Alligator mississippiensis: one gene and its partners. The protein of the gene in region 3 interacts with the protein of the main gene of each other region in a pairwise test. Links are inferred from orthologs where the notes say so. Each region holds a gene or a part of one and is shown on either strand. Other genes may lie near its edges. The genes, in order: INPP5D, BAHD1 and KHDRBS3.

What was found.
Region 1: the proteins of KHDRBS3 (region 3) and INPP5D interact in binary tests that used the Homo sapiens proteins (3 or more experiments, as listed by UniProt). The two-hybrid records come from large-scale screens. The link is inferred for Alligator mississippiensis from reciprocal best matches to the Homo sapiens genes KHDRBS3 and INPP5D.
Region 2: the proteins of KHDRBS3 (region 3) and BAHD1 interact in binary tests that used the Homo sapiens proteins (3 or more experiments, as listed by UniProt). The two-hybrid records come from large-scale screens. The link is inferred for Alligator mississippiensis from reciprocal best matches to the Homo sapiens genes KHDRBS3 and BAHD1.

Annotation. Positions count from the first base shown.
Region 1 is NC_081830.1:38,844,507-38,854,510, reverse strand, and holds the start of INPP5D (phosphatidylinositol 3,4,5-trisphosphate 5-phosphatase 1), read right to left. Parts: upstream 4,168-10,004; 5' UTR 3,874-4,167; intron 3,389-3,873; 5' UTR 3,387-3,388; coding exon 3,253-3,386; intron 1-3,252. Other genes in the region: NEU2 (sialidase-2), read right to left, coding at 8,971-9,912. UniProt on the Homo sapiens protein: Phosphatidylinositol (PtdIns) phosphatase that specifically hydrolyzes the 5-phosphate of phosphatidylinositol-3,4,5-trisphosphate (PtdIns(3,4,5)P3) to produce PtdIns(3,4)P2, thereby negatively regulating the PI3K (phosphoinositide 3-kinase) pathways.
Region 2 is NC_081825.1:241,371,641-241,381,285, forward strand, and holds the start of BAHD1 (bromo adjacent homology domain-containing 1 protein), read right to left. Parts: upstream 4,500-9,645; 5' UTR 4,120-4,499; intron 1-4,119.
Region 3 is NC_081826.1:12,062,745-12,072,530, reverse strand, and holds the start of KHDRBS3 (KH domain-containing, RNA-binding, signal transduction-associated protein 3), read left to right. Parts: upstream 1-6,208; 5' UTR 6,209-6,405; coding exon 6,406-6,493; intron 6,494-9,786. UniProt on the Homo sapiens protein: RNA-binding protein that plays a role in the regulation of alternative splicing and influences mRNA splice site selection and exon inclusion. Binds preferentially to the 5'-[AU]UAAA-3' motif in vitro.

The DNA of each region.
Region 1 (10,004 bases), on a different chromosome or scaffold from region 3:
AGGGTAAAAATTGTTGTTGAAGACCTATTTTGCTACTCTAAGTGCAGTTACAGCAAAGAGGCATGATTACACACTCATGTCTGTCTGCATGCGCTTTTCATCTGCCTCTCTGTATACACATTATTATTTTCCTGCAACATTTCTCCAGGAAAGTCATTACATGGCTGTACAGCATGAAAAAAAGGAACTTCCTGCCCCCTTGCTCCCTTTCTCATTCTGACTGATTTGCTTGCTAAACCTTAGAAATGTCTAGAGGATGACACTTCTTTCTCATGGTAATATTTCAGGTTTCATTTTTTCTAAGAGGGTAGGGAGGAAAGGGGTGCCCTGTGTTGGAACAAAGCCAAAACCTTTCAACTGTTCTAACAAAATGGCATTGTTTTGACATATCTATTTTTGGCCAGGTTTTCAATTTGGGTCACACTTTCTCACATTCACCCTCTTTGGTCAGATGTGACTAGAAAGCCCCAGACTTCACAAACCTTCTTGTCAAAAAGTCAGTCAGAATTGATACATTTCTGCAAAAACATCAGCTTCAATGAAACAGCATATTTCAACACATTACATTTTGTTGAAAGTAGCTGGTCTGGTTGTATCTAGTAAATGTTACAGCCACTTTCTCTGCAGCCATGAGACCCAAAGTGAATTTGCTGACATTAACACCAAAGCTGAGAACGCTTCAAAGGGAACAATTTATTCGACATGTTTGACCCCTTTTCTGCAGATCGACTTTGATTAGATAGATTATCCCAGTATTCCCCCCACAGTTGGATGGACACGTTTCAGTCTCCCTCACAGGCTTTTCGACACAACCACAGCTGCCAGCAGTCCCAGCATTGTTCCCAATGTCTTCAGAAGCAGGGACTGAGTGCTCAGCATTTTTGAAGACCACACCACTTAGTTCAGCACTTTACTACAGATTCAAGTGCCACACTTTTAGCTCCCATTTAAAAAAATCTTGGTTATGATATTGTTGTGTCTGTTTCCTGATCCCATGTATCTCAAACTCTCAAAGGAATGAGAACTCATGGTAGAGGTGATATATTTTATTAGACCAACTAGATTTTTGCAACAAAAAAAAATCTTTTCAACCATCTTTGTGAACCAATTGGAATAAAGAGAGAAAGAAACCAGCAACTCCCCTGGTATTTATGCAACCTCTTTTATTTGCTGTTAACAAGTATACACACAAACACAATATTGTTTTCAAAGGCATTTGTAGAAAAGAAGAGTGTTGTAGATATTTGTACTAATGTGTACTTTCATAAAGTTTTCCACTGTAAATGCTTATGCAGCCATCTTTGAAAGCCCTTTGAGAATGTGATATCCAGGTTGTAGTTGTACTGGTCCAGAGGCAAAAAAAATCAGAACTTGTGGTAGAAGTGATATCTTTTATTAGACCAACTAGATTTTGCAAAAAAAAATTCCTCATTTGCAAGCTTTCAGGCACAAGCACCCTGTTTCAGGCATAGGAGAAAAGATTCATACTCTCCTGTGAAATATGAACTTTCATTTCTACCTGGGAGAACTTTACAATATTTTCTCCTATGCCTGAAGAAGGGTGCTTGTGCCTGAAAGCTTGGAACGAAATAATTTTTTTGCAAAAATCTAGTTGGTCTAATAAAAAATATCACCTCTTCCACAAGTTCTGATTCCTTTTGCCTCTAGACCAATACAGCTACAACCTGGATATCACACTCTCAAAGGGCTTTCAAAGATGGCTGCATAAGCATTTAAAATGGAAAAATTTATGCAAATACACACTAGTACAACTATCTACAACAGTCTTCCTTTCTACAAATGCCCTTGAAAACAATATTGTATTTGTGTGTATACTTGTTATCAGCAAATAAAAGAGGCTGCATAAATATCAGGGGAGTTGCTGGTCTTTTTCTCCCTCTATTCCAATTGACTCACAAAGATGATTTTGGCACTAATTCCACGTGCTACTTGCCTGAAGGTATCAACTTCCCATTTCTCTCACAGAAACATGCAAACACCCGTCCTTAAAAACGCATGCCTCTTTCCTTCTCACACATTACTATGCCCATTCCCAACCTGCACTTCTGTGCCCACTGTGCAGACCTCTACCCCTTTACCCTCGTTCTGTTACAGTTTGACACACACATTTTCAGGATATGCTAAGCTGCCCCATACGTTATTGCAGAGAGACCTGCCTTCTGTCAGATGCTGAACTGTCCCCAGAGACCTGAGTTCAGAGGCGAACAGTTAGACCACAGATGAAGCTGACACCTCCTTCAAGAGCTACAAAAAGCACATTTTAAAGAGGAAGCAGCAATAAGGAGCTTGCTAGTTAGTTGGGTTGTGGTGACAAACTTGATTTTAAAACCTTTTGCTCACTTAAAGAGAGATGCATATGATTGGGCCCTGGTCCTAGGAAGCTCGTTTAAGTTGAGTCTGGCCATGTCCTCTCTCTAGAGTAAAATTTTAAATTCCTCAAAGTCTTCATCCAGTGGCTGTGGTGTTTCAACCCCCTCTTGATTCCAAGTCCCAGAGCTACAAGAGCAGACGTACTGCCCTCCTAACGAATCCTTCAGCTTCATTCCACAGCTAGAAATCTTTGACTGGAAATGAAACAACTGCTCAGGACACCGAAAGAAGCTTACTAAGGGGTATTTTCCCCCCAGCTTCCTCTTGTGAGCCACGTCCATGGGTAAGGTGGAATCAGACAACTTCACTAAGAGGACTGCCACCTGGAGCTACTAACACATTCACAGGATACCTGCTGGACTGAACAAGGCATTTATTGACTGAGCAGACTATACCAAACGTGCCAAGCTATAAATAAGTAAAAGGACACAACACTTGGTGGGCTCTATGCAAAAGTGCTTTTCTTTTTCATCAAAAGAAACAAGACCTAGGTACCTGACTGGTTCCCAGAGACCAGAGACCAGAGAGATAGCTAGGCCATTCTCTAATCCAGAGCATGTCAATCCAAAAGAGACATTTTTGGATCATGGTCTCCTTTCAACTCTGGGATTTGGGGCATCCCTTCCCTCGGGTAGTTTCCCCCAAAATGACAATCACAAATGTGGCTTCTCTCAATCCCTCTCCAAACCTCCAACTCCCACTCCTGCCATACTTTCTGGGCCAGAACAGGTTAAACCTGTTGCTGCTATCATACCTTCTCAGTGAGTGAGGTGGCTGCTTGCCTGTGCAGGATGTAGGGTACTCCCTGCATGGATAGGACAAGGGTGGCTAAGCACAGAGAAAAATAAAAGCCATACTTACAGCACACACAGCGCATACGCTGAGGGGATTGATTCACTGGCCCGTACGAGGAAGCTGCCATCCTTACCCACTTTGGAAAGCAGGTCCTCAGCCTTGGAGCGAGTGATGTTCCCATGGTACCAGCACTGATCCATGGCTGGAGGTGGAGGAAACCTTAGTGACAACCCTGCAGTTAATATTCGGGAGCTGCCAGAGCTGTCTGTGTGTCTGTTTAACAATCAGCAGCTGCAGCTCACCAGCTTCCTGTTTCAATGGTACAGAGGGAAAGGAAACTGAGCTGAGGACAACTTCCTCAGAACTCAAAACAGCTCAGAGCGACCGTGAACAGCCCTGCAGCCTCTGCTCCTCTTCAATATACTGTTGCTCAAGCAGTTAACAGTCTGTGTCCCCCACAAGAAAGGACCAGCCTGGGGGACCAATTCTATTCCCTCACTTTGGGACAGAGCCACAGATTCCATGGCATTTCCTCCCATTTACGGTGCTGTAACCAAAAGCTGAGCCAGGCCCTAAATGTCTCTATCCCTCCCCTTCCTTCTCACTCTCACTTTTTGCCTCTCCCTTTTTGTCTGCTGCAGGACCCCTTAAAAATAAACAGGAATATTAGAGCAAGATTCACTGTACCTCAGGGTCCTCAGGATGCTTCTGTCTGACTTGTCCTATTCTTGTCTATCTTCAGTAGCCCGACCCCAAAATCCAGCTGGTCATCATATGGGACCTGAAGGAATCTACAAACTATGCCTTGCCTGCGTGGCAATAAGCTAGTCTCATAATTTTGTCCAGGGAACCAGTGACAAAAACTGCACATCTCACTATCACGCAGCATCAGAAGAACTCAAAGGTAACCCGTATACCAAAACCCCACAATGGGATGGGATAGAGTCACACGAAGAGGGAGACTAGTGCTTTCACTTCCCCTTTCTTTGTCTGCACATGGATTTCTGTCCTTCCCGTGGGCTCTCCTTACGGCATGCTCAGTGCTGATCTCCAAGGCAGCAAACATGACAACTGAGGGTGTGTCTATAGCAAGCAAGGAAACCATTGCAGGGGCACAGACCGCGTGACATGTTTGGTTGTCTCGCCTGTACGTACAACCACTCTGTGCTCGGTGGAACTGTTTTGGCACATGTATACTTTGGCTCTAATTCAAAGCAGCTGGAAAGCCAGTTTAACCAGGCTGCTCAGGATTTTGATTACAGAGAGAAAGCCCTTAGATGGTGCAAAGTCAGAGCCGGTTCTAGACAAATTTTAGCCTCCTATGGCTTACGGAATTTGGTGAGAGAAGGGTACAGGAATCTCGGTTGTTGTGCTATTGTGTTCTGGTTGCCAGAAAGCCCCTTAGAGCCAGGACGGCATAATGTAATGGAACAGACTGAAGTTCCACTGGGGAATTCAACTGTTGCTGGGACAGGTCAGGATTGTAGGGGGTGGGAGGGAGACAGAGTTGTCTTCGTCTAGGATCTGGCTTTCTGTTCCTCACAGCTATGGTTGTACCAGTACAGTCAGAGTCTCCCAAAGCATCTATTCCACAGTGTCCATTTTGCTATTGTGACTGGGGCTTGTGAGTAACTTCTAAACACAAGGCATGACATTACGGGGTAGAGATAGGACCACCAAGAGGACTGGCACAGCTGCAACGCTTGTGGTTTCCTGTCCATACTGAGGAGTAACTGTTTGTTGACCTCACTTGGCCCAGATCCACCACACATTTTTAGGTGCATGACTCTCATTGACTTTGATGGAAAGTACGAGTTAGGTGCTTAAATTCCTTTGTGTACCTCAGGTATCCAGGTTGTAGCCATAATGGCCTAGAGGAAAAGTCAATCAGGACTCATAGTAGATATCTTTTATTAGACCAACAAGATTTTTGTAAATCTTGTGCATCTCAGCTCTTGTGCCATGCCAAAGGCCTTTTTGCCTGTTTTAAAGAGTGTCTGAGTGTGAGAAAGAGAGATTATAATTACTTTTCCAATCCTGCTTATAGTAATGTCCTGCCAGCTCCGGTGTTGGCTTCTCAGGACCTTCTAAAGTTTCTACTTGCAGTAGCTCTTCTGCACTGTTGCTGCAGCAGGAAGCAGTACAGCTCTGAATGTCAAGGCAACAGTAAACCACTGGTTGACATAACAGCAAGGAAACTTCCATATGGTGAAGATATAAGCAGACACAGAATGAGGGGGACTGACAAACAAGGCTATTTTTGCCAAAGTGAAACTGTCTTATATTAGAGGTTCTGATGATTTATTTTAAGTTCCAGGTACTAGAAAAGACATAAGCCAAGTTCAAGCCGTTAAATGATCAAGTATTCTCTTGTTTAATGCTACTCCTAAGAAAACAAAACTCTCTTGCAGCTAAGTTCAGTGTTCAGAGGCCTCAGAGCAGTCCTGTGTGCTGTGACTTCCTTCAAATGTGTAAATCCGCCAGCCAGCTATGTAGCACCCCCTCCCCCATAACTCAGGCGTAAAGAAGATTGTGTTCTAGACTCGCTTGTTCAAGATTTCACTTCTAGCCTCACTTCTCAGATGTTTAGGGTGTAGATTCCACTGACAGTGCAGTTCCAAATGGTTAGATGATTCCTACTGCCCTAAAATAAACTGCAGCATGATCCCTGCTGGCAACTGGATAAGACTACATCCAAAGAGACTGGAGCTGAGTTCTCATGGTGCTATGGTCTGACTCTTATTACACTGGGAAAAGAATAAAACTGGATTCCCACATGATTAGTGCATGTGGATTCAAGGAGTCTGAAGCCTGATTTCCAAAGGATAAATCATGAGGTATACTGCTTCAGCAAGAAGATTGCAGTCCACTTGCTATTGCTGATAGTTATGTAATTTCAGCAATGAAATTTCCTCCTAAATATGTTTGTCCAGGTAGGTCTACTGAATAGGTCTGATGAGCTATTCTAAGGAAAGAAGGAATTATAGGACAGTTGTCCTCTGACACTTGTCTAGCAGAGAACTGGCATTTTATCATATGAACAGAAGTGGTGGTGTTGTAGTCATTATGTTACATTATACTATACTGAAGGTGACATTAAAGGGCAGAATTCACCAGTTGCAGCGACTGCTTTCTATCTCTACTTGAAATAGGAGATTTTGAGGTACACAGTAGCAGGTGTGTCTGCTGTGACCCCCTTAGTAACATATAAAACTAAAAATGGGAAAATCTCAGTACAAGACTCCAAACCAGAAAGGCAGAATTCATGACTGCACTTTTAGATAACAGCAGTGGCAGCAATATTTAATTTTAATTTACTTGAGAGAATGAGGCCACAGCTTCATGCTAGATAATCAAATTTGAAGTCTTGGCTGCCTATGGACAAAGCTATCACATTATTTCCAAGTGTGGGGGTGTTATGCCATCTTGTCTATTAGCAGTTGTAGAATGAACTGCAGTTGCAGCTGCAGCTGCAGTCAAGCTAGGACTGTCCAAGGTGACTGTGAACACACCAGTGTGGTGGATAAGTGGACAAGCACTGTTCACGTGATCATTCAAAATGCACAACAACTACTGACTCAAAGAAAGAAAACTCACCAACCCTGGTTGAGCAGTTCATTAACCCTGGGTATCTTACTTGTTTGCTGCCAATAGATGTCATTGAGCTTGGACAGCTGAGAAGTGCCCAGAGAAACTCTCTCCATCATGACGCAGAAGCATTTCACAGTGGTATTGCCAAGAGAAGTTAAATCAGTGAGCAGATTCTATAGAAGAGCGCTTAACTTTGTCAGAGTCTAAAAACAGGCATACCCCCAGGTCAGGCATTAATAGCATGCTGTTGGCCTCACAGAGACATTTTTGGCCTCTGGCCTATATCTGAGAAGAGATGAATGTATTGCAACGTGTCATGTTTTTATCAGCACGTGAACTGCTTCTCACTTTGCTGCTACTTTAGCCCTATATGCTAATGAACTTGCAGCCTGGGGAAAGAAAAAGCATGAGAAACTGAATATTTATTCAGGGTGGTCGTACCGTCTCTTAGCTCCCACCGTACTTTGCACCCCATTCTGTGCATATGGTGACCCCTACTATAACAGGAGCCCTTCAGCAAAAGTAGAGAAGCATGAGAAATTAAGTGAAATCAAGAATCCTCCTTTTTTAACTGCTTCCAGATTTCTCACAACATTGCTATCGTCCCCTGCTAGACACATAAGCAACAAGAAGCAAGTGACAGAGGCACTTGAGCACACAGGCAATCCTCTTGGCTGTGCTAATGAAAGCCTGACATGGGCCCACATGGCCACTGTTTTTGCTGGCATGGAACAATCCTACCAGCAGAGCCCTGAAAAGTGCATATTTTGCCTCATTAATAAAGCAAACATTGGTTTGCCTTGGAATCATTATGCACAAGTGCACACACATGGGAAGTTTACCATACAGCAAATAGCCTGGACTGATCTTTATGCAAAAGCCTGTCCTAATTAAAACTTTTACTTCTCTCCACAGTTCTACCTCTGCCCTCATCTTCCCCTGAGATTCCTTCTCTCTTCCTTATTCCTTGTTCACTTCTGGTTACTCCTTAGGTACTCCTAACAAAATCGTCTACTTTCAGTTCACCACACATGCCTTGAGTAGTCTCTCAAGTTGTTTCCTTCAAAAAAAACCTGCCAGAGTCCCATCTACTCCCCAAAGCTCTCCAACTCAAATGTCCTCACATCACTCCCTAGAGTTTTATTTCACTAGCATGACACTTGGTGCCTTGACAAACTGAATGAAGCAAGGAATTATATTAGCTGTTTGACAGGTCCCACTGCCTGGCACACCAGAGACATTTTATTACAATGACAGTCAGGCTCTCTTGCTAGACTTTTAAGCAGTCTCCAGACTTGGATAGAGAGACAATTTCATGGCCTACTCCTGGTATTAATAAGATATTCCTGTCTCTCCTTTCCAGACAATAAATTTGACATTCACCCTAGTGACAAAGCTTACTGGGCCTGACTGCAGTTCTACCTCAGACAGCTGAATCACACAATGCAAGAGAAAGCAAGGAAAGCAAGATGGGAGGAACAGATGCATCAAAGGGAAGGTGAGGGGTCACAGGTCCAAGAAGTTTGGGTATTCTAAGAGGACTATCCTGAATTAAATACGATGGATAAAGATGAAAAAAGCTACAAAATTATGACATAAGAGAGCAATTTGACCACAGCATCTTGGCTTCCCTCAAGCTGAGAGAGCAGGAAGGTTAAAAGATCAAAAAGAGCTTCTAAACATTTCTAAGCAGAAAGAGAAGATTTCAGGGGCAAAGGTGTTTTGTGAAGGTAATGATGACATGCCTCCAAAATGTGGGGAATAACAATGATATCCTTTCCAGCGCTGCACTTGATGGAAAAACATCTCAGGCAGCCTATCTAAGTACTGGTGAGCATGAAATGGCTGCTATGTGTGCTCACGTAACCCCTTGCCTACCACTAAATTTCTCTAGGAAACAGTCAGTGTGAAATGTGAAAGGTGCCACCCAAAAATCACATTTGCTTGCAGTACATGGCAGCCTGATTGGAAACAGTTGAGGAAAGAACATGTAAAAAGAAAAAAAGGAGAAAAACACAAACCTATTTCCAATAAATTTAATAAATATTGTCACCTATGCATGCAACACTACGGCAATAAGAGCAGGATGAAGTCAGAAAATATAGGCCTTTTGCTGACAGACAAGTAGAAGTTAAATTGAGAATCAACTAAGGTGACTTACAGATGGGTACTGAAAGGTTTGTCAGCTGGGGCTCAGCACTGTGCTGGAAAAACTTGTTTCAGCGTGAACATGAGGAAGACTATCTTCTCACATTGCAATTTGGTGCCAAACTCAAAGAGGCAGCAGAACAAGGGTGAGCCATCTGGACCCTGGCCCAGGTACTGCATATCTGAGTAAGCACATAAACCCTTACAGATGATGCTGGGTTCTGTCCAGGTTGCTGGATCTAAGGGACACTTGTTGAGATACACTCCTAAGTCTCTCCGTCCAGTGGGGTCTGTTGGATGAGTATAGAGCACCCAGCTGTCTTGACACCCTGACTTCTCATCAGTGGGACACGGAAAGGCTGTAACACTCCCGTGACAGCCATGGGGAGGTTCCACCAGCTTTGCTATCCGCTGACCACTTTCAAAATCCACCCCATGGTTGTAGCTCACAGCCTGGACTCTGGCACCTCGGCTGCTTCTAGCATTGCAGTACAGCACTCTCTCTCCACTGATGTGCACTTCTGTGACCTGGCACTCCACTGCACTCTCCTCCACAAAATTCCCCAGTGTCCAGGTCTTTCCATGGTCAGAACTGACAAAGCAGAAGGCGTGGGGGGAGGGTGTTTTCCCAGGGTCAAGTATTCGATAGGCATAGGCAGGAATCACTAGATTTTGCGACTCATTGGACAACTGCAGACCATGGCCAGGTCCCACTGCAAAAGTGGCCCACTCCTTGTGTGTGGTGTTAATCACAGAGTTAGTGAGATCCTTGGCTGAGCTCCAGGTGCATCCACTGTCAGTGCTCGTGACATGGCACAAGTGTACCAGGTTGGTTTTTGTTTTGATCTGGTGCATTTCAGAGATCTTTCCTGGGATGGCTATAAAGAACAGGAAAAGGGTCCCAGTAACCTTATCATACACTGGACATGGGTTCATGGATTGGTGCCCCTCCAGCTGAGCACTGAGAATGGTCTCCATTTTGTTCCACTGCCACGTGTGAGTATGAAAGGGGGACAAGACAGGAACACATAGTTAAAATAAATCATACTCTAATTATAGATACAGACTAGAAACGAGAG
Region 2 (9,645 bases), on a different chromosome or scaffold from region 3:
AAAAAATCATCAACATTCCTTAACAGACACGTATAGTATTATCCCTGACCATGACATACTCGGTGGAATAATAAGTACAGGTTTCATTTATGCATTTATTCTTAATTTCAGTGGTTGCCATGGGATGTTTAATTTTCTATTTTAAACTGTAAAGCTATCCTGGAAGTACATCTGAACTACTGTTTTCATTTGTTATTCACAAGGATGATAGTTGTGACTTTAATTAGTTCAACTGATTGGTCGGAAAGTGGTTTTTGTTCCCATGGTAACTTCTTTTGGGTGTACTGTGGTGGTTAGTCCAATATCAGGCATGGGAAAAATCTATGTAGAATATTTTGTATGCATTACGTAATGCCATTCAACTATGCTTAAAATGTTTAAGCATTAGATATGATCATCAGAAAGTTTGTTATTTTCTTGTGATCTGAACTTAATAACAGAATGTAACGGTGTGCCTGTATTTGCTTAGGATTTCTAATTATTTTTTCCAATTGTTTACTTTGAATAGGCTTCCTGCTAAGAGCTTACGTTTCAACACCAAAATATTTCAAGCCAATGTTTGAAGAAGAGTTTATGCTTCCCAAATAAGTATTCATCACCATCTTAGTAAAATATCCACATATTATATGTAAGCACACTCCAATCCCAACACGCTTTCACCACAAAGTGATGATTATAGCCAAGAAGTGACATTAAATGGATCCAAATATTGTGGTCAATGAGGAAAATGGAAAATAGAGAAGAGACCTGAGATGATGAAAGGTACATCTGGTGTAAAAAGAAAAGTTGCTCCCTTAGCAATCCACCAAGAAATTTATGCACGGTCTCAGAGGCTTTCAAAGTAACCAAACCCCAGCTAAGAATCCGTATCACTTCTTTATCAAGAGTGCATGTCAGACACTGGCACTGTGGTTTTTCTAAGACATGAACCCATATCTAAGTGTCAGAGGGAAAAGACCTACCCAACTGCATCATCAACTATGGATTAAAACTTAGAATTCTAAAAAAAGCATAGAACAATTTTTACCAGATAGCTAGACCTTTCAATGCCAAAAAACTGTGATGGCACAGAAGTACATTACCAGGGTCACAGCACTACATCATTCAAGGTAATGTTTGTTATCTACTGATACCAAACATGACCACCCAGATAAGATTCTAGTTAGATGAAGTTCCACAAGAAATTATTTTTCCTTCTACAGTAATTCTGCTTCTTTAATGCTAATTTGTACTCCTATAAACAGGGCTATACTTCACAACCCTGGTTCTATAGCACTTTACTAAGCAGGCTGGAAACCAAGTCTTAGTAAATTAACTAGGAAAATAAATACAGTCCCTGGAACATCACTTCTCCAGTCTTACTTAACAGGATACTTGAGCTAATTTAAAAACAAATATTTTTATATTTAAGATACATAGACACACAAGTTCTTTGTAAAAATCTAAACTCTCACAGCTCAGTAGGAGACAGACTGGGTATTTAGCACTTGAGAAAATGTGAAAGAGAATTTAAGATCGTAGGTGGAGTACGTTAGCATGATAGTTCTGTTAAACCAAGCCACACTAAATCACTTAATGCTGACATTTAAACTATGATAAGATTTCAAAGGCAATCGCCCATTAAAATAAACCAGGTCCACTACATTGTTTTTCACTCAGTCACATCTGGACGATTTTTGGCACAAGCAGAATGACTAGCAACTTAAAAATGAAAACTTAGATCCTGGAGCACAATTTACAGCCACAGTAACAAAAAGTACACAGAGCTCTGCCCCAAGGTAGCAGGTCGGACTGAGCAAATTCTAGTTGTGGCAGATTGATAGAAAGGTCAATAAACTGAGGTACCAACTGCCCAGAAATGTCATTTTCTTTGAAGTTCATCTGCACCTGATGATTCAGACTCTGTATAGGGAAGGAGCATCAGGGGCAGTTTTACTTAATAGACAGACACTATATATTTACACACACACACCCACCCACCCACCATGCAGGCAAAACAGGTTTTAAAATTTAATAATTTCAAAGTTTTCCCATGAACTATCCACAGATCTTTATAAAGAGATTAGGCTCCCATGATGCATTTCAGAATAAGTCCTAGGTTGTGCCAGACAAAACCTGGGAATTTTGCATCTCCATTTATCAAGCTCAATGGTTGTCAAACTGTAGTCCACAAAGCACTCACAAGTCTGCAGAGATCTGGCCAGTCACATGGTGCTGGCTCCTGCATCTTGTAGAAGCAGCTGGAAAGAAGGAGCCAGTGAAGCTGCCTCCATTAGGAGCTACTGCTACACAAAAGGAGAAGAGGAAACAGAAGCAGTGAGAGCCACCAACAGGAGAGAAAGGAATATCCAGCGAGACTGGAACCAGACGAATGGACAGCCAGCATAGGGAAAGATGCTTAAATTGAAGAGTAAAGTGCAATTAACTCTTGCATATTCCATTTTAAACAGCATAAAACAACTGCATAACAAACACTCTAAAAAAATAATCTCTTTCTAATATTGCTCTTCCATGCAAATACCTGCATGTATTGTCAGATAACCGGACTCAAAATGGTAGGATCAGATTGTGTATTAACAGCATCTGAACCACATGCAGAGACAACTGCTCTAGTGAATTAACATTTATTCACACAAGACAGTTACTTCAATGCCAGCCTCACAACACAGGAGTGACTCGCTCACAAAAGCCAAGCACCTGCCATCATACATGCATTTGCTGTAAGTATCTGCTCAGCCTGCCCAAACTGACTTGACTGCCTCCATCCTACCCTACACATACCTTTACAACAAAACAGTTAGGAAGTGCCAGAGGACCTCGCTCAGACGGGCATATAGCCAATGTGCGGAGCCTGCTCCTCAGCCATCTACATGTGCCTATGCAATGGGCTCCATAAAATCAGAGCCTGGTATTTTCCCCTGGCATCAGGTTAAGATCAGCTTAGCCAGTTCTCTGGAGGGGAGTTGGTGGGGGAAGGCAACAAATGACACCTGGTTTCCAGAGCCCCCTGACAGACTCTCCCTCCATTGTTCCCCTGAACATCGCGGCTTCAGCAGCGCATGTGGAAAACCCCTCTCAAGTTGGCGTTTCTTCCCCCTACTAAAAGGAGCTGCTGTGGAATAGGTAGGAGGCCATTCTGTACCCGGCTCTTTCTATAGAAACCCCTTTCCTGAGTCACTGCCAGAGGTTTTCTCCCTGAGGACTGAACCGGTAAGTCCCAGCTGGGGCTGGGGCCCGGGGGTGAGGTGCCTCCCCAGCTGCCCACCCGCCGGGAGGGGAGAGCGCCGCGCTGCCTGTCTTTGTCCTTCGCAGCCATCTGAATCGGGACATCTGTCTCCCAGGCTGGAGGGGCGGGGGCCCCTGAAGAGCAGCCGGGGCCTGCAGGCAGCGGCCCTGGCCCCCGGGCAACCCCCTGGGGCTGCTTTTTGAGCAAGGTCTTTGAAAGCGGGGGAGGGAGGGCCAGGAAACAACAGCCAGGCCAGGGCCCCCCCCCACCCCGCATGTGCTGCGGGGCCGCGGTGCTCGCTCGAGCCCCGAAGTGAAGGATTTTATTATGTAACTTTCACCCGCGGCCAGTCCCGCACCGGCCCGGCCCGGCCGCCGCCCGGCGCACCCACCTGCCACAAAGGCCGGTCCCCGCCGCGCCGCCCGGGGAGGGGGCGCCGCGCCGCCGGCGGGGTCACGGGCGGGGGGAGCGCAGCGGCGCCCTTCAGCCCGCCCCGCCGCCGGGATGCCCTTCGCGGCCCCGGCCCGGCCCGGCCGCCCCGAGGGCCCGGCCCGGCGCGGGAGCCTCTCGCACGGTCGGGGCAGCCCCGAGGGGCCGCGCTCGGCGGTGGCGGCGGGGATGCGGAGCCGAGCCGGGCCGGGCCCTGCCGCTCCAGTCCCCGGGGGCGCTGCCCCGCCCGACACACCCGGGCCGCCCCGCGCAGGCACCCGCCGCCCCGGCCCCGCAAGTTGGCGGCTTTCCACTGCAGCCGCCCCGGGGGGCGGCACCTGCTCCCCGGCCCGCGCCCCCACCCCGCCCGCCCGCCCGCCCGCAGGGCGCTCCCCGGGGAGCCGGAGCAGCCCCCGCGCGGGATGGCGGCTCCCCCAGCCCCGGCCCCGGCGCGCGGGACTCACCGCGGCGCCTCTCGTGCGGCCCCGGCGCGGCGCGGCCCGGCCCGGCCCAGGGCAGCCGGAGGCCCCGACCGGGATGGATCCAGCGGCTGGAGCCCGGCGGGGCGCCCGAGTCCCGGGCTCCACGCTGCTGCGTCAGCGCCTCCTCCTCCGCCCCCGCCTTCTTCGTCGCCGCCTCCTCCGCCTCCGCCTCCGCCTCCTCGGAGCTCCCGGCTGCGGGATGGGGATGGGGACGGGGCGCCCCCGGCGCGGCGCGGCTGTGCTCGGCGGCCGGCCCCCGCACGCAGGCCGGAGCGGGCGGCGCCGCTGGACAGGAGGGAGGCGGCTCAGCGGCGGCTGGCGCTGGCTGCGCGCTGGTGCTGCTGCTCTGCCGCTCGGCTCCAACTCCGCCAGAGCAGCGAGCGCCTCGCTCCTTCCTGCTTCCTCGTCCGCAGCCAATCAGCGTCCTCCCCAGCGCCGCTCGCTTCGCCGCGCCGGCCAATCACGCGAGCCCCTGCCCGCCGCCGCCAGCCAATCCCGCGCCGAGCCCGCTCCGGCCGAGCCGCCCCCCCCCCGGTCCCGGCGCTGGAGATTCCCGGCGGGCGTGGCGTGGTCCCGCCATCCCCGCGCTGCATCCCCGGCCCGGCCCGGCCCGGAGCCCCTGTCTCTCCCCCGCCATCGAGTGGCAGAGCCGCCCCGGCCCCGGCCGCGCTGCGCCCACCCAGGTCGGCGACCTCGCAGGGAGCCCCACGCGGCGCCCCGGCCCAGCCCGCGAGGCCGCCTGCCTGCCCGCGGCGCGGCCGGGAGAGGACAATCCGCATGGCAGGAGCGGACAGGGGCTGCTCGGGAGCCGGCGAAACTCGCAGCAGGGGCGGCTGGGCTGTCACACCCCCACCCCGCGCACGGCCCGGGGAGCGCGCTGCCCACAGGCGGGCTCCCGCCCACCTGCTCGGCGGCGTCGAGGGGAGGCCGAAGCACGTTCCCCGCTTTCCGGCCGTAGTGACCGCGGGGAGGGCGGAGGGAGGCCTCTTTGTCAACCCCCGCGGAGCAGCCCGTCGCCTCCTGCGCCTCCCCGGCTCTGCCAGCCACAAGGCGCCCGGAATCCCGGCGCGGGAGCCTTGCCTCTCTCCAGCCATCCCATTACCCCAAACGCCCCTTGGCACTCGCAAGCTCAACTACAAATACTGCGTGAAATGCACAAAGACTGCTAATGCCGAAGTACCAAGCATTTGTATATAGGGGACAGCTCAAATTAAGATTCACAGACATTAGGGGAGCCTTCGGCCACTGCAATAACTCTATAAAACGCTGTATAACGAATGGTTATAGGACAGGTAATGAAGCATTAAGGTTTACCTTTAAGGAGGAAAACTGACAACAGAATACATCACATCTGAGCAAGGTGGCATTGTGAGGAAACCTTAGCTTCTGAGATTTCCTAACTCAAGTCCTTGATTTTGTGACCTAACGTTACCGCAATGAAAGATGCCAAACTTTACTCTCTCTCATTGCACCATTAAAGTGAGGTGGCTCTAACTGATGGGTTCTTGAATAAACATGTCTCTTACTGAGCGTATCCTCTAGTCTACACTAACATGCTTATACTGCACCTTCTCTCCAAAGCATTAACTATATAGGCTTATCAAATGTAAACATGATGATTGAAGCACAAATACAGAGAGGACACACTTCCTTTTAACTGAACATTGGAGTGATTTGTTCACAATTTCTCCAAATGAAACGGGGTTTTTCAGCTGCATGCTAGCTCTGAAGAAAGGTTAGTTGTACCGACAGTGGAACTCAGCTTTAAGTATCTTACAGTAGTTGCTAATGATACTATAGAGAGCAATGCATCACTTCTCTCAGCAGTCAAATGTGTCTTTCCACTCCATTGTTTTTCCCCTGAACTCAAAGAGGAGGTCAAGTTACTTTTCTCTTTCACGGATGCAGGAGAGCTGAAAAAAAATGAAGACTAGGCTGCAACTTGTGAAGATAGCCAGAGGCTTGGTGATGCAAGAATGAACTTCTTGAAACAGGCATGGGAGAACTCAACACTGGAATGCTGTGGGGAAGTATGAAGAATGGATGGGTTATAAAGAGTCAACCCCTGCTGCTCTCATCATTTGTATGAAGACCTGCCTCCTGGCACCTCAACGCCCAGTGTACTAATAAAATGCTGCCACACTGTTGCATAAAACACAATCTCTTCCTTTTTTTGAAGAATCCGATACAGGAAAATAGGCCCCTTTTCATTTGCAGTCCTGTTGCTGTGCTTCAGTTTCTGTGAGAAAGGTCACAGATCCTCCCTCAGTGGTTCACTGGCACAAACTCTTTCTGTAAGCAGCCTTGTGACTTGGCTTCAATGACTTTTCAGTTCCTTTGAGGGTGGCCAATTTTACTTGATAGCCAGGAGGGAGCGACTGTCCTGGAGCTTCCCTGCCCCGGCGGTGTGCACCTCCCCATGCTGAAGGGACACACTCTCCTTGCTGCCCAGACAGCAACCTAAGAAAATGGACTCTGCCCTCTTGGCCTACTGTGATGCACACAGCAGTTTCTCCTATCTACTGCAGCAGCTGCCAAGACTGTATAGTAAACATATCCATTGATAGCATGTGTCTTACATATTTTTAAGGGATGTTGTGGAATAACAGATTATTTTTGTTATCACATCACCATCATTCCCCTCCACTGAGTCCTACCACACTAACCCCTTTCCTCTTCTGATAAAAGGGGGGGGGGGACAAACAAAAAACATTAATTACTTCAGAGTCTCAGCACTCAATCAATAAGAGGACACCATGGGCAAAGTTCCACTGGGACTGAGCTGGACCATGCAGCCTATTCTGGAAAAAAATAAAATGATGCTCCCCAAAAACTGTCAGCCTGAAGTAACAACTCAGGTCAGTATAAGGTCATTGTCATTGATGGACAGGTATCTACAAAGCACTTTTTCAGTGTCTTTTCCCATTCCCTGAGAACCTAACTAGACAGGATTGCATTCTGTAACCAAAAAGGGATGCTACTCTCCCTGGAGAACTGAAGTGAGACACCCATAGTACAGGCTCGAAAAGTTGAGTTTATCAAGCAATGTTGGTTCTTTCATGAATAAAAAGGTTATATGTTTTAGGGTTTGGGGTTTTTTTGCTTGTTTCTGTTTTTGTTCTGCTTTTATTTTTACAGAGACTAGGGAAGGAATCCATTTCCCTCCTGTCTGAATGGACATCAACAAGGTCAGCCTCCCTGATTTTCATCCACTCCTATGCCTGTGCCATCTACCTCAGAACTTCTCTAGCAACTGTGGCATGTTTGTAAGCCATTTCTTTACCAACATTGCCAGGAAGCAGGAAGATGTTTGAAGGCAAGCATGTGCCAACTGGGACAACCCAATCACAGCATAACAATCTCTGCTAATAGCAAGAGGAAACCAACAAATGCAGTAAGCATCAATTAAGCCACAGAAACTGGGTTAAAGACCATTTTTAAAGGTCTGTGTAGAATTCAGCAAAACTGAAGGAAACCTAACATACTAAAATATCCTCTTTCTTCCCAGTGTGCCTGTGTACTGTAAAGAATCTGGAATGCAGGATCAGCCATTATTGACATCACAGCAGTGCCAAGGGTGGGAGATAAGGAGGAAGCATTTCAACCATTTGGAGACACTGATCCACTTTCTAAACTTGTATGCAAGCTCCGTTGTTTCCTTTGGCAGTTTATGTAGATATGAACTTTAAGTCAGATCTCAGCAGCGTTCTGTTCATTCACCTACATGCCACTTCAATGACAAAGCACAACTGTTTTCAGCAACCAGGGCTTGCCAAATCATAATGAAGGCCTCTGTTATGGCTATATAATGTTATAGTCTACCCCAGAGTTTACAGCAATAATTTTACCTCCAGGACTACCTAAAAAGGGGGCACAGTAGGGTTGCTCAGTGATAGTATTTTCCAGACAAAAATATGCCCCAAATCAATGGCCTGATGTTACTTCAGTGAACGCAGGTGCAGACAGTTAGATATCATGAACCAGGAAGCCATGACATTTTTTGGCTAAATTATGATGACATCAGAAGCCAGGTTTTACATAGGTTCTCAAAGAAACATGTGCTGTCTGCGACTATAGAAAATAAGCTAGAGGGGTGGCTGCCTGAATGTTTTGCTATCATTTTTTAAATAAAAGGACCAAGAAACAAGCCAAGATAAACTTATCAGCTATATTGCTGAGAACAAACAAATGGGATGTATGCTAGCAACTGGCCTTTATCCAATAACATATTGCCTTGTTAAGATCCTTGTGCTTTAAGATGCTCCAATGATAAGCCTTGTAGACGTGTACAGTATTAACACTGAGTTTTCTCTTCTGTTAACAATCAGTTCAAGGAAGCATATGACAGAGGATAGTACAGTTATCTTATGGAAATGAATATGTATGCTAGTTACTCAGCAAAGCATAATGACTGTAAACAGTCTGGTTTAGAACAACAAACTTATTTTAAAATGGATTCAGACCCAACATGTAACAGCTCCTTCTCAATTGGATCAGAATTTTATTGCTTGCAGACCCTTTTCCTTTGTGCTGTAGAAACTAATGTTGCTCTGCACTTAAGAAAAAGGTAGGGAGAAAAGAAGATCCCATCAGGAAATTCCTATTATAGCTTTTTATTTCACCACTTCCCTCAAGTGTCCTGGAGTAGCACTACTTTGCTGCTCAACGTTGTTGAGTGTTAGCTAAAAAGTAAAAAAAAATCCCCCCTGCCCTTTCTTTATGAGAGCTGAAAGTGCTGCTTAACCAGTATTTCCAAGGTGAAGATTGAAGGAATCACCAAATCTGCCATACCACTGGACTGTCAAGCTGCCACTAAATAATTTTAAAACTTCCAATCTCTCCAGCAAACAGCAGCAGGAGGTTAACTAAGGTAGTAGCCAAATGCAGAGCATCAAATCAATTATAGATTTAGTTTTAGTGTGATAGAGAATGCAATCTCACTTTACTCTTCAGAAATGTTTTAATGACTTTACAACCATACCATCTTGGACTGTGATCTCATGTGCTAAATAGGGACAAGGCTGGTCAATATTTGGATGGGAGACTGACAGAATTGGAGCTGCTACATAATAATTTATGAATGCTCTGTTGACTTGGTTATGGAGTATGAATACATTGGTTTAATTGATAGGGAACTGCAAGGAAAAACAAGCAGGAAGGAAGCAAAATGGCTTGAGAGAAACCACCTCTCTCCCAAAACTGAGTTGTTAAAAGACATTACAGGAAAAGACCTGAGTGCATCACAGAAAATGGGATTCTCTCAAGAGAAGGGAAGGAAGGTAGTTTGGAGTTGTCTAGGAAAAGGAATCAAAGACATAGCTGACATAGTGACTTTAGACAAGATAAATGTGCATGAAGACTTGTTTTGAAGATTTCTGTTTCTGTCTCTAAATACTGTATTGTTAAGCAGCCATGAGGCCAGTCACAGGAAAGAACTGCAGCTGCCTGAACCCAGTCAGACCTCAGGGTTCTGCAGGTACAGATGATGCACAAAGTTCTGTAGGCAAG
Region 3 (9,786 bases):
GGAAGGAAGAACCATCATATGTTTGAATGCTGCTGTTATACGGGAACATTAATACTGCAAAAGGCAAGGATTTCTCAGGGTGATAGTTCATCCAATAAAATATGTAGCTGGGATAAGGTTAGACAAGCTTTTGAATGCAAGATATTCTTCCTCTTGCATTCAAAAGCTTGTCTAACTTCATCCCAATTATATAGTTTATCCAATACAAGGTATCACTGTAAGAAATCCTTGTCTTTTGCATAATTTCTAGACCATTATAGCTGCAACATCACTGTTACAGTATCATAATATTAGTAAGTGCATCTCCAATATTTTGTTTATAGCGAGGAAGTATTATGTTAATCGAAGATAACTAGAGAAGGCGAAGAAACAATTCTAAGATTCCTTCTTGATCAAGCTGTGTGTACTGTGGTTAATTGTTGACAGCAGTGTGTGCGTTTACACAGGCTTTTTCATTAACAAGACTCTTCAGCCTATTGGAAAGCAGAGGAAAAACAGTTTAAAAAAATCATGAATATTTGGAATCTGAAATGTTGTTTTTGAATGAGCTTTGAAGACAGTAATACTAATATCTACTGGACTGCTCTCATCCTTGAATTTCCTTTGGTTTTCAATAAAGAAGACAATAGTTTTAAGGACTGATCCTTTTGGCTTTAAGCCTTTCAAGGGATTTTGTCAGCCGAGTAACTAGAGCTTAGTCTGCCTCAGGGGTGGATCCAAGATTTGGCAGAGCCCCCACTGCAGGGGTGACTGCACCTCGATTCCCAGGCTCCTGCCACCCTCATGGATAAGAGTACACCCTGATGTGGCAGCCTCTGGGGACTTTTTCAAAGTCCTCCAGGCATGTTAGAATCCCCACCTTTCCCTCCATGCTCAGAAGCACATTCCCCGCTCCTACTGCTTTCTCCACTGTCCCTGGAAGCTTCAAAGCTGCTCCTGCCCACACCAAGGGGCCATGAGTGGGCTGGGAATGTTAAAAGCTATAGCAGCCAGATTTAGGGGGAGGGGGTGGGAAGAGGGTGATTTCCCTACGGTGCCTGGTCCTTCTCCCCTCCATTCCCCCAAGCAGGTGCAGTAAAGGGGAACACCCTGGCCCCTGAACATACCCCAGGAACCACTTTGAAGTTTTATCTTGCCCCAGATGGAGGGGTGGGGGAAGGAAGCAGCTGTAGCAGGAGGAGGAGAAAGGAGAAGGGTAGGGAAGGGGGATGTTTTTGGAGACTAAAAAAAATCTCCAGAGGTTCCTGGACTAGATTTAATGCAAAAGGCAGCTATGCCACTAAATCCCCTTCCAGGGTCCACCCGGGTCTGCTTCCTTCAACCTGCACCTTCTATGCTTATATAGCTACTAGTCTTTGTTCCCTCACACCTTCCTGTTCCTGATTTACTGAAGCCCTTTGATTTAATGTCCTTATTCTGACTGTGGTGGAGAACACGGTGTGCTTCACTAGTTAGATGCTGATTTTGACTTGAACAATAGGCTAAAATGTGGATAAACTGGTAATGACTGTATTTTCTGATTTCCTGTGAAGGAGGACAAAGCTTTAGATGTATCCTTGCTACGCTGGTATTTGTTTTCACATTAAAAGCACCTGAGGTTCCATAAAACCAGAAACACTAAATTGGCCAATTCAAAGGACAACAAGAAATTGTTTTTTAGATATATTGGGAGTAAAAGGAAGGCCCAGGGAGGAATAGGACCCCTGCTAAATGGGCAGAAGCAATTGGTGACAGATAGAGGGGACAAGGCTGAACTCCTCAACGAGTTCTTTGCCTCAGTGTTCCTAAGCGAGGGGCACGACAAGTCTCTCACTGGGGTTGTAGAGAGGCAGCAGCAAGGCACCAGACTTCCATGCGTAGATCCTGAGGTGGTGCAGAGTCATTTGGAAGAACTGGATGCCTTTAAGTCGGCAGGCCCAGATGGGCTCCATCCGAGGGTGCGGAAGGCACTGGCCGACGTCATTGCAGAGCCACTGGCGGGAATATTCGAATGCTCGTGGCGCACGGGCCAAGTCCCGGAGGACTGGAAAAGGGCTAATGTGGTCCCCATTTTCAAAAAGGGGAGGAAGGAGGACCCGGGCAACTATAGGCCGGTCAGTCTCACCTCCATCCTTGGTAAAGTATTTGAAAAAATTATCAAGGCTCACATTTGTGAGAGCCCGGCAGGGCAAATTATGCTGAGGGGAAACCAGCATGGGTTTGTGGCGGGCAGATCGTGCCTGACCAACCTAGTCTCTTTCTATGACCAGGTTACGAAACGCCTGGATACAGGAGGAGGGGTGGATGTCGTATACCTGGACTTCAGGAAGGCCTTCGATACGGTATCCCACCCCATACTGGTGAACAAGTTAAGAGGCTGTGATGTGGATGACTGCACAGTCCGGTGGGTGGCGAATTGGCTAGAGGGTCGCACCCAAAGAGTCGTGGTAGATGGGTCGGTCTCGACCTGGAAGGGTGTGGGCAGTGGGGTCCCGCAGGGTTCGGTCCTTGGACCGATACTCTTTAATGTCTTCATCAGCGACTTGGACGTGGGAGTGAAATGTACTCTGTCCAAGTTTGCAGATGACACAAAGCTATGGGGAGAAGTGGACACGCCGGAGGGCAGGGAACAGCTGCAGGCAGACCTGGATAGGCTGGACAAGTGGGCAGAAAACAACAGGATGCAGTTCAACAAGGAGAAATGCAAAGTGCTGCACCTAGGGAGGAAAAATGTCCAGCACACCTACAGCCTAGGGAATGACCTGCTGGGTGGCACGGAGGTGGAAAGGGATCTTGGAGTCCTAGTGGACTCCAAGTTGAACATGAGCCGGCAGTGTGACGAAGCCATCAGAAAAGCCAATGGCACTTTATCGTGCATCAGCAGATGCATGACGAATAGGTCCAAGGAGGTGATACTTCCCCTCTATCGGGCGTTGGTCAGACCGCAGTTGGAGTACTGCGTGCAATTCTGGGCGCCACACTTCAAGAAGGATGCGGATAACCTGGAGAGGGTACAGCGAAGGGCAACTCGTATGGTCAAGGGCCTGCAGACCAAGCCCTACGAGGAGAGACTAGAGAAACTGGACCTTTTCAGCCTCCGCAAGAGAAGGTTGAGAGGCGACCTTGTGGCTGCCTATAAGTTCATCACGGGGGCACAGAAGGGAATTGGTGAGGATTTATTCACCAAGGCGCCCCCGGGGGTTACAAGAAACAATGGCCACAAGCTAGCAGAGAGCAGATTTAGACTGGACGTTAGGAAGAACTTCTTCACAGTTCGAGTGGCCAAGGTCTGGAACGGGCTCCCAAGGGAGGTGGTGCTCTCCCCTACCCTGGGGGTCTTCAAGAGGAGGTTAGACGAGTATCTAGCTGGGGTCATTTAGACCCAGCACTCTTTCCTGCTTATGCAGGGGGTCGGACTTGATGATCTATTGAGGTCCCTTCCGACCCTAACATCTATGAATCTATGAAAACACCTTCTCTTTCCAAGGCCTGTTCTTTGTGATTCATGCAGTGTAGATGGTTTGAATGTGGGCTTATCAAATTAAGGTCCTGTACTCTGCAAACGCTTTATCTTATGGTTTAGTCACAGAAGTAGGAATGTTTTTTCTCATGTCCTTCACCAAGGATTACATTCCCACATGTTCTGTGGAAAAGTTTTCTGCCTGACCTCTTAACCAACAAATGGCTGCATTTTAAATGTGTATTTACAATATTCAGTCAAGGATGAATTAAAAAAAAAAAAAAAAAATACTCTAGCTCAACTTTTTTCCCCAACTGCTTGTAATTTTGGCTTTTACATTCCCTGTTTAGTCTCACACTTTATTTAATTAGTAACTTTGATTTACCCTCTCCTGAGTTAAGTACTTTAAAATATTGCCATAGTTGCCAATAGCAAATGTTGCATTCACTTGCAACTATTAACTTCAAACAACCTATTGCACAAGTACAGGCATGTCGCATCATACACGCATTTAACTTGTGCGAATTCAACTATACGTGGGTGGGGCGGCCATCCCGTGCTGCGCCGCTGCTGCCGGCCGCACAGCTCTAAGCGTGGCTCTGCGGCGGTGGTGGGAGGTTTTGGAGGTAGAGGCAGTCACTGCTGGCACGGTAATATGTGATTTCACTATATGTGATTTTTTGCCTTTACGTGCTGCCTTTAGAACGTAACCCCTGCGTAAGATGCGGGATGCCTGTATTTTATGCCTGACTCTTAATTTTTTTGTTAAGGTCATCCTAGTTCCAAAGCTGTTTTCAGTTGTTCATAATTGTAAAACTTTTATCTTTACTCATATTTGATCTTTTTTTTTTTTTTACATATTGCATTAAAACGCTGATTTTATTTAATAAATATTGATCTTCAAGTCCTGTGTATACCAGGGAACAACAATTGTGTCAAACTGGAACCTAACCAGTGTGCCAGCAATTTCTTGATGACTGCATTTGAGTCCTTGCTCAATGGTGGATTACTTTAGAGACTGCTGACCAAATATGAATTGCTTCTGGACATGTCGAGCTAAATAGCTCTGGCTTGGGTTTATTTTGAAGATCATCAGAAAAATTAATCAAGGCAAGTATACTTTTTATTGTAACACTGTCTGTGAAGTGATGCAAGACCTGCCAGTTCGTATTAAATCTTCTATTTGATATCTTAAAATATGGCTTCATAGATTTCTAGGGTCAGGCAAAAGAACACGAACAGTTGGAGAGTTGTGTTATGTCTACACTTCCTAACTTTGCAATGCAGTTTCTTAAGCAGGGCTCGTTTGCAAGAAATGTTATTACATCTTTCTGATTATATTACAAACACTAATCAATATAAAGCTATCTGATTATCAACCTATAGTTCATACTTTGTCATGTTTTAAGGGCAACGGATCACCTGTTATTACCTTTGTTAACCTTGCAATCAACGGATACTTTAAAATGTTATATGCTCCTTTAACTTATGGCTCTTACTTGTAAAGATGGTGATTGTCCCTGTCTGTTTCTCTGGCATTTGTAGAGAGGATTCTCCGTTATTTTCTCTGATGAAATTCCTGAAGGCCAATGAGGAAGCCACGGTGTAGCTCAAAACTAAAGCCCAAGGTAAAACATGTGCTAATATACTAAGCGTATCCACGCAGATATGTAGCAGTGATAGTCTTACAGCTTGATCCTTAGCACATAAGACTGGAAGGGGCCACCCGGCTCATTGAGTCCCCTTCCTTGGGATTGTGGCCACCTGAAATGGAGGGCTGCTAGTCAGGTTCGCAGCGCCCACGCCATGGCAGCCCCAAATGGGCTCGGCTCTGGTGGAGTTGCCGCTTGCAGCGGCGCCAGCCTCAGGATGATGCACAGAGGCTTTTGGGAGCCGTGAGTACTCGGCCCTGGGGAGGGAGGACCCTTATAGAGGAAACATGTCAGTAGTCAACCTTGAGTGTTTTGCGGGGTGGGCGGTAGGGGAAGCGTTAACCTCTCGTGGAAGCATTCGAGTGATGGGGTAGCCGGGCTGGTCCTCGCCTCTCACATTCATGCATCATGTCATGTAACTTCACCTATCGATTTAACTTGTGGTTTCAAGTAATATAGTTCACGTATTGATTTAACTTCACGTATCGATATAACTTCTGGTTTCAGGTAATACAGTTCACGTATGGATATAATAACTTCAGGTATCAAGTCCTATAACTCATGAATCTCCTCTGAAAGTGCGAGACTGGCACGTGTTTTCCTAGCGTCGTTCTTCTGCGTTTCGGGCCGTGCTCAAGTGGTGTCTTCACGCTTTTTGCCCAGCTGCACCACCGCGGAGGCTTGTCTTGCATTGGTACCGTGGGGCGCGGCCTGTGAGAATTGCTGCCACTGCGAGGGTGCTCCCCGCTTCCCGCCCCCGCCTGGCTGGGCTCTTCCTGAGGGGAGGCTCCAGCGCCCTTTCTGTCCGTGGGGGGAGGGGGGGCCCCCGGGCTGCTGCTGCGGTGCACGAAAGGTTAAGAGAGGCTGAGCCGCCTCCGGCTCCAACGGCCGCCGCGCGCGAGCCCGCCCAGCCCAACGGCGAGGAGCGGCACCAGCCAATGAGAAGCCGCAGGTGTCCCGGGAGTGACAGCCGCAGCCGCCCAATAGTAAGCTGCTCAGACGCGATTGAAGGAGGCGGGTCGGCCCCGCCCAGTAGGAGGGTTCTGTGGGCGCGGCCTCTCCTCCCGGCGGGGGGGGCGGGGCTTCAGCGGCGCTATATAAACCTGCGGCGGAGGGGCCGCGCCGCTCAGTCGGCGCCGAGTGGGGCGGCGGCAGTTGCTCCGGTAGGGAGAGTTTCCCACCGTGCCGGGCTGTCTCCCTACGTCCCTCGTCACCTTCCCGCCGCTGCACAGGCTAGGGGCGGCCCCGCCCGCTGGATGCGCCCCGGGGCCGGGCGGGAGCGCTGCGGCCGCGCGGGGAGGATTTACCGCGGCCATGGACGACAAGTACCTGCCCGAGCTGATGGCGGAGAAGGACTCGCTCGACCCGTCCTTCACCCACGCGCTGCGGCTGGTCAGCCAAGGTGCGCCCGCCGGGGGGAAGGGGGTCCATCTTCCTGTGTGCGTGTGCCGGGTGCGTGCACTTGTGTGCGTGTGCCCGGTGTTGCTGCGTGTGTGCACTGCCACGCGTGTGTGCGTGCGGTGCTCCTTGTGCAGCAGCCACCGGAGCTTGCCCGCCGCTGCCTTCCCTCGGTGCCCTCTGCCGCTTCTTGCGGGTACCAGCCTCTCCTTCCTGCCCTGGTCTAAGGCAGCAGTTCCCAGACTGTGGCAGGGGTGCGCAGACAACCTGTAAGTGGTACGGGTGAGCAGATCCATTATAACTATATGACCAGCGTTTGCTGGTGGTACTTAAGGCACCACCGCCAGCACAGGTTGCAGTTGTACTTAAGGCTGCATGGTTTTAAATTAGTGGTATCAGTCTGGGAACTGCAAGGGCTGGTGTAACTTTCCGTCAACCTCCCGCTTGAATGTGACCTGCATCTCCGGGCAGCTCTCGGCTCAGCATCCTCAGCCAGGGGCACAGCCCTTTCCCAAGGGAAGCGATGCCCCGGCTTAGTCCCAGCGGTTCTGCTGCAGGCAGAAGGGAGAAGTGATTTCAGGCACCGGGGTCCATTGGAAAAACATTTTGTGTCTGAAAGCTGCCACAATTGTTCTGGCAACAAATGTTCATGGAGAAATGTTAGCAGGCATTTGCGCGCGGCGTGTTTGCACATCATGTGCAAACATCGGATTGGTTATCGATTAAACCCTCGCTGCGTTAAACTGTTTTTCTTCAGAATTCATAAAGTCAAGGCAATGGGTCGGCAGGGTTTTGAATGGTAAAATCCCAAATTTAGGACTCCATCTGTTTGGCAGCAGGCTCTTTAAAAACAAATGAAGAAGAAGGACTCTGACTTGAGCTGCTCAAATGAGTAGAAAGCAGGATTAAGTAGAAGTTGCTTTACCTAAATTATACTTATTTAAATATATTCGGGCTACAAATGTTATTAGATGGGTATAGCCTGTTGACTTTCAGGTGTTAAGAATTCTCTACTTTTTTTGAGGACTAATAGCTTCTGCTACATACTATAGGGGGGTTGCACTAATATAGGCAATTTCATGAGGGCAATAGAAATGATTTTTGCTTCTTGGTCCCCTTAAGCAGTCAGTGCTCCTCGTGTTTTGTTTTGGGTTTTTTTTTTTGAGGGGGGGGTCTTTTGGGTTTTTTCTAAGAAATTTTATATATGAAAAAAAGCAAAACAAAAAACACTTGCATAACGTATGGAAAGCGGAGAGGGGTGGGTGAGGGTGGAGGAACTAGCTCAGAGGAAGGAGCTTGGTAAAGCAAATTTTGACATAGCAGACAAGAAGCTTGGTTTAACATGTACTTGTTTTAATGGATATTTGTTCATGAAACTTAAAGCAACATCTGTGCTTCAATCATGAAGAAAATGACCCACTTGTCAATGAGTGACTGAGTGAAGGTTGCGGATAGAATATTTTCTGAATAGCAGCATTCTGCATGTGTGTGTAAAGAGGGTTTTTGAGGAGATTGTGCAAACATGCATGGTACTTGTGAGAATAGACACAAAGGATAGCTCTGTGTGTGCGGTCTGATAAGAGTGAAGCTACCAGCATTAATGCTTGAGTTTTTTTTTTTCTTTTCGTTTTATGGATGAGTCAAAAATCTGCAAAGGAAATAGGTGCCGGCAACTTGATTGGGAAGTGATATGACCTTTTAAGTTCCTTGATGCAATAATTTGATTGTTGCATCTGTGTACACTTGGTAAGTTTCTAGCTTGCAGGACTAAAAAATGGAAGGTGCTCTTGGAGCAAATGGATTAGGAAGAGCTGTCTGTTAATGGGTCTTGTGTCCATGTAGGCTCCTTTCTTCAGCTCCGGTTTTAATAAGTGAAACACTAAGTGTGAACCCATTGTGTTCAAATCTGTAGTCGCTAAAATAAAAGCTCAGTAGGTAACAACTTGCTAGCTCCATGTAAATGCAGGTTTCATTCATAACAATGCATATTTAAAGTGACTGCAGCTGATGGGTGGCTTCCCAGGCAGTTTGTATGCTGGATTGATGTGAAGCATCTAATTAATGAAAGAAGTGGAAAATGGAGGTTGTCTGCTTTCTGTAAGCGATACAAAACTGTACTGTGATTAGTGACTTCAGGCTAGAGAAACGGTTCCTGAAAATGGCTTTTTAAACCTACTAATCTAAACTGTAACAGGTGGTATTCTTTGATGTTAAATGGAGAGTGCTTTTTTTTTTTTTGTTAGAAGTGGAAATAACCCTTTCTACTGTCTGCCTGAATTATGCTGGTTTGTATTTTGAGACAAATGATTCCCCTCTCATTCTCTTTCCTTACAGTTGCTCAGCCACTTATTTTTGAAAAATTGAAAGACAGGTGAAGTTTAGCTGTTTTTGTTGTCCTCTGTTGCAAGCAAAGACATTAACAAGTCTCCAGCTATGTTAAGGCTGGGTCTCAAGGGAGCAGAGTTGTCCTGTGGCCAGAGTTTTAGTATCTGCTAGTTATTGTTTTCACACACAAGTGGATACACATGCATCTGTATGTCTGTTTTCTTCATTTGAAAGGTTAAGTTATAGAACTCTGAAAAATACATCATAAAACGCATCGGTGGGGTGAAGAACTTTAATTTGCTAATAGTAGTTCTGCAAAATGTGTTACTTCAGCATTTAGCAGTAGCTTGCATGACAACACATTGGACTTCTTGTCTTAAAGAATTGAAATAACGCATTTTTTGCCTACATACTCATTACCTTCATTGCTACTTCCATTTGCCATAAAGCAGTAAACAATAGTCTCATTGTCCCCCCAAAAACCAAAGTTTCCGGTGGTTTTAATACAATTCTTACAAATATAAATGGAAAAAAAGTTAGTTTTGAAATATTATGGCAAACAAACATTGGAACAATTCACTACTGCTTAAATTTAGTAGAACAGTAGGGGTCCTTCTCTTGGAGGTAATGAGAATATATTGTCAGTTCTGGTTTGAATGAGGCATTTACTTTTTATACTTGAGCAAAATGCATGAAACCTGTTTACTGTAATATAATTAGCTTGCTTTCTATCCACTCAATTAAGTTGGTGACAGATTAAAGCTAGATATACAGATAAATCTTTCGGTTGCTTAATAAGGGGATTGTCCTGAAAGGGTTAAGCTGTAGCTGCTGTTATATCCTGATTTAAAAAACAAACAAAAAAAAATTGTCAGAATACTCTTCTTTAAAAGGAAGGCCCCCTTCCTATGGGTGTTAGGTCACTGTAGAGAGCAGGAGGTATACATACCCCTGCCATGTATAAGCGTGAGG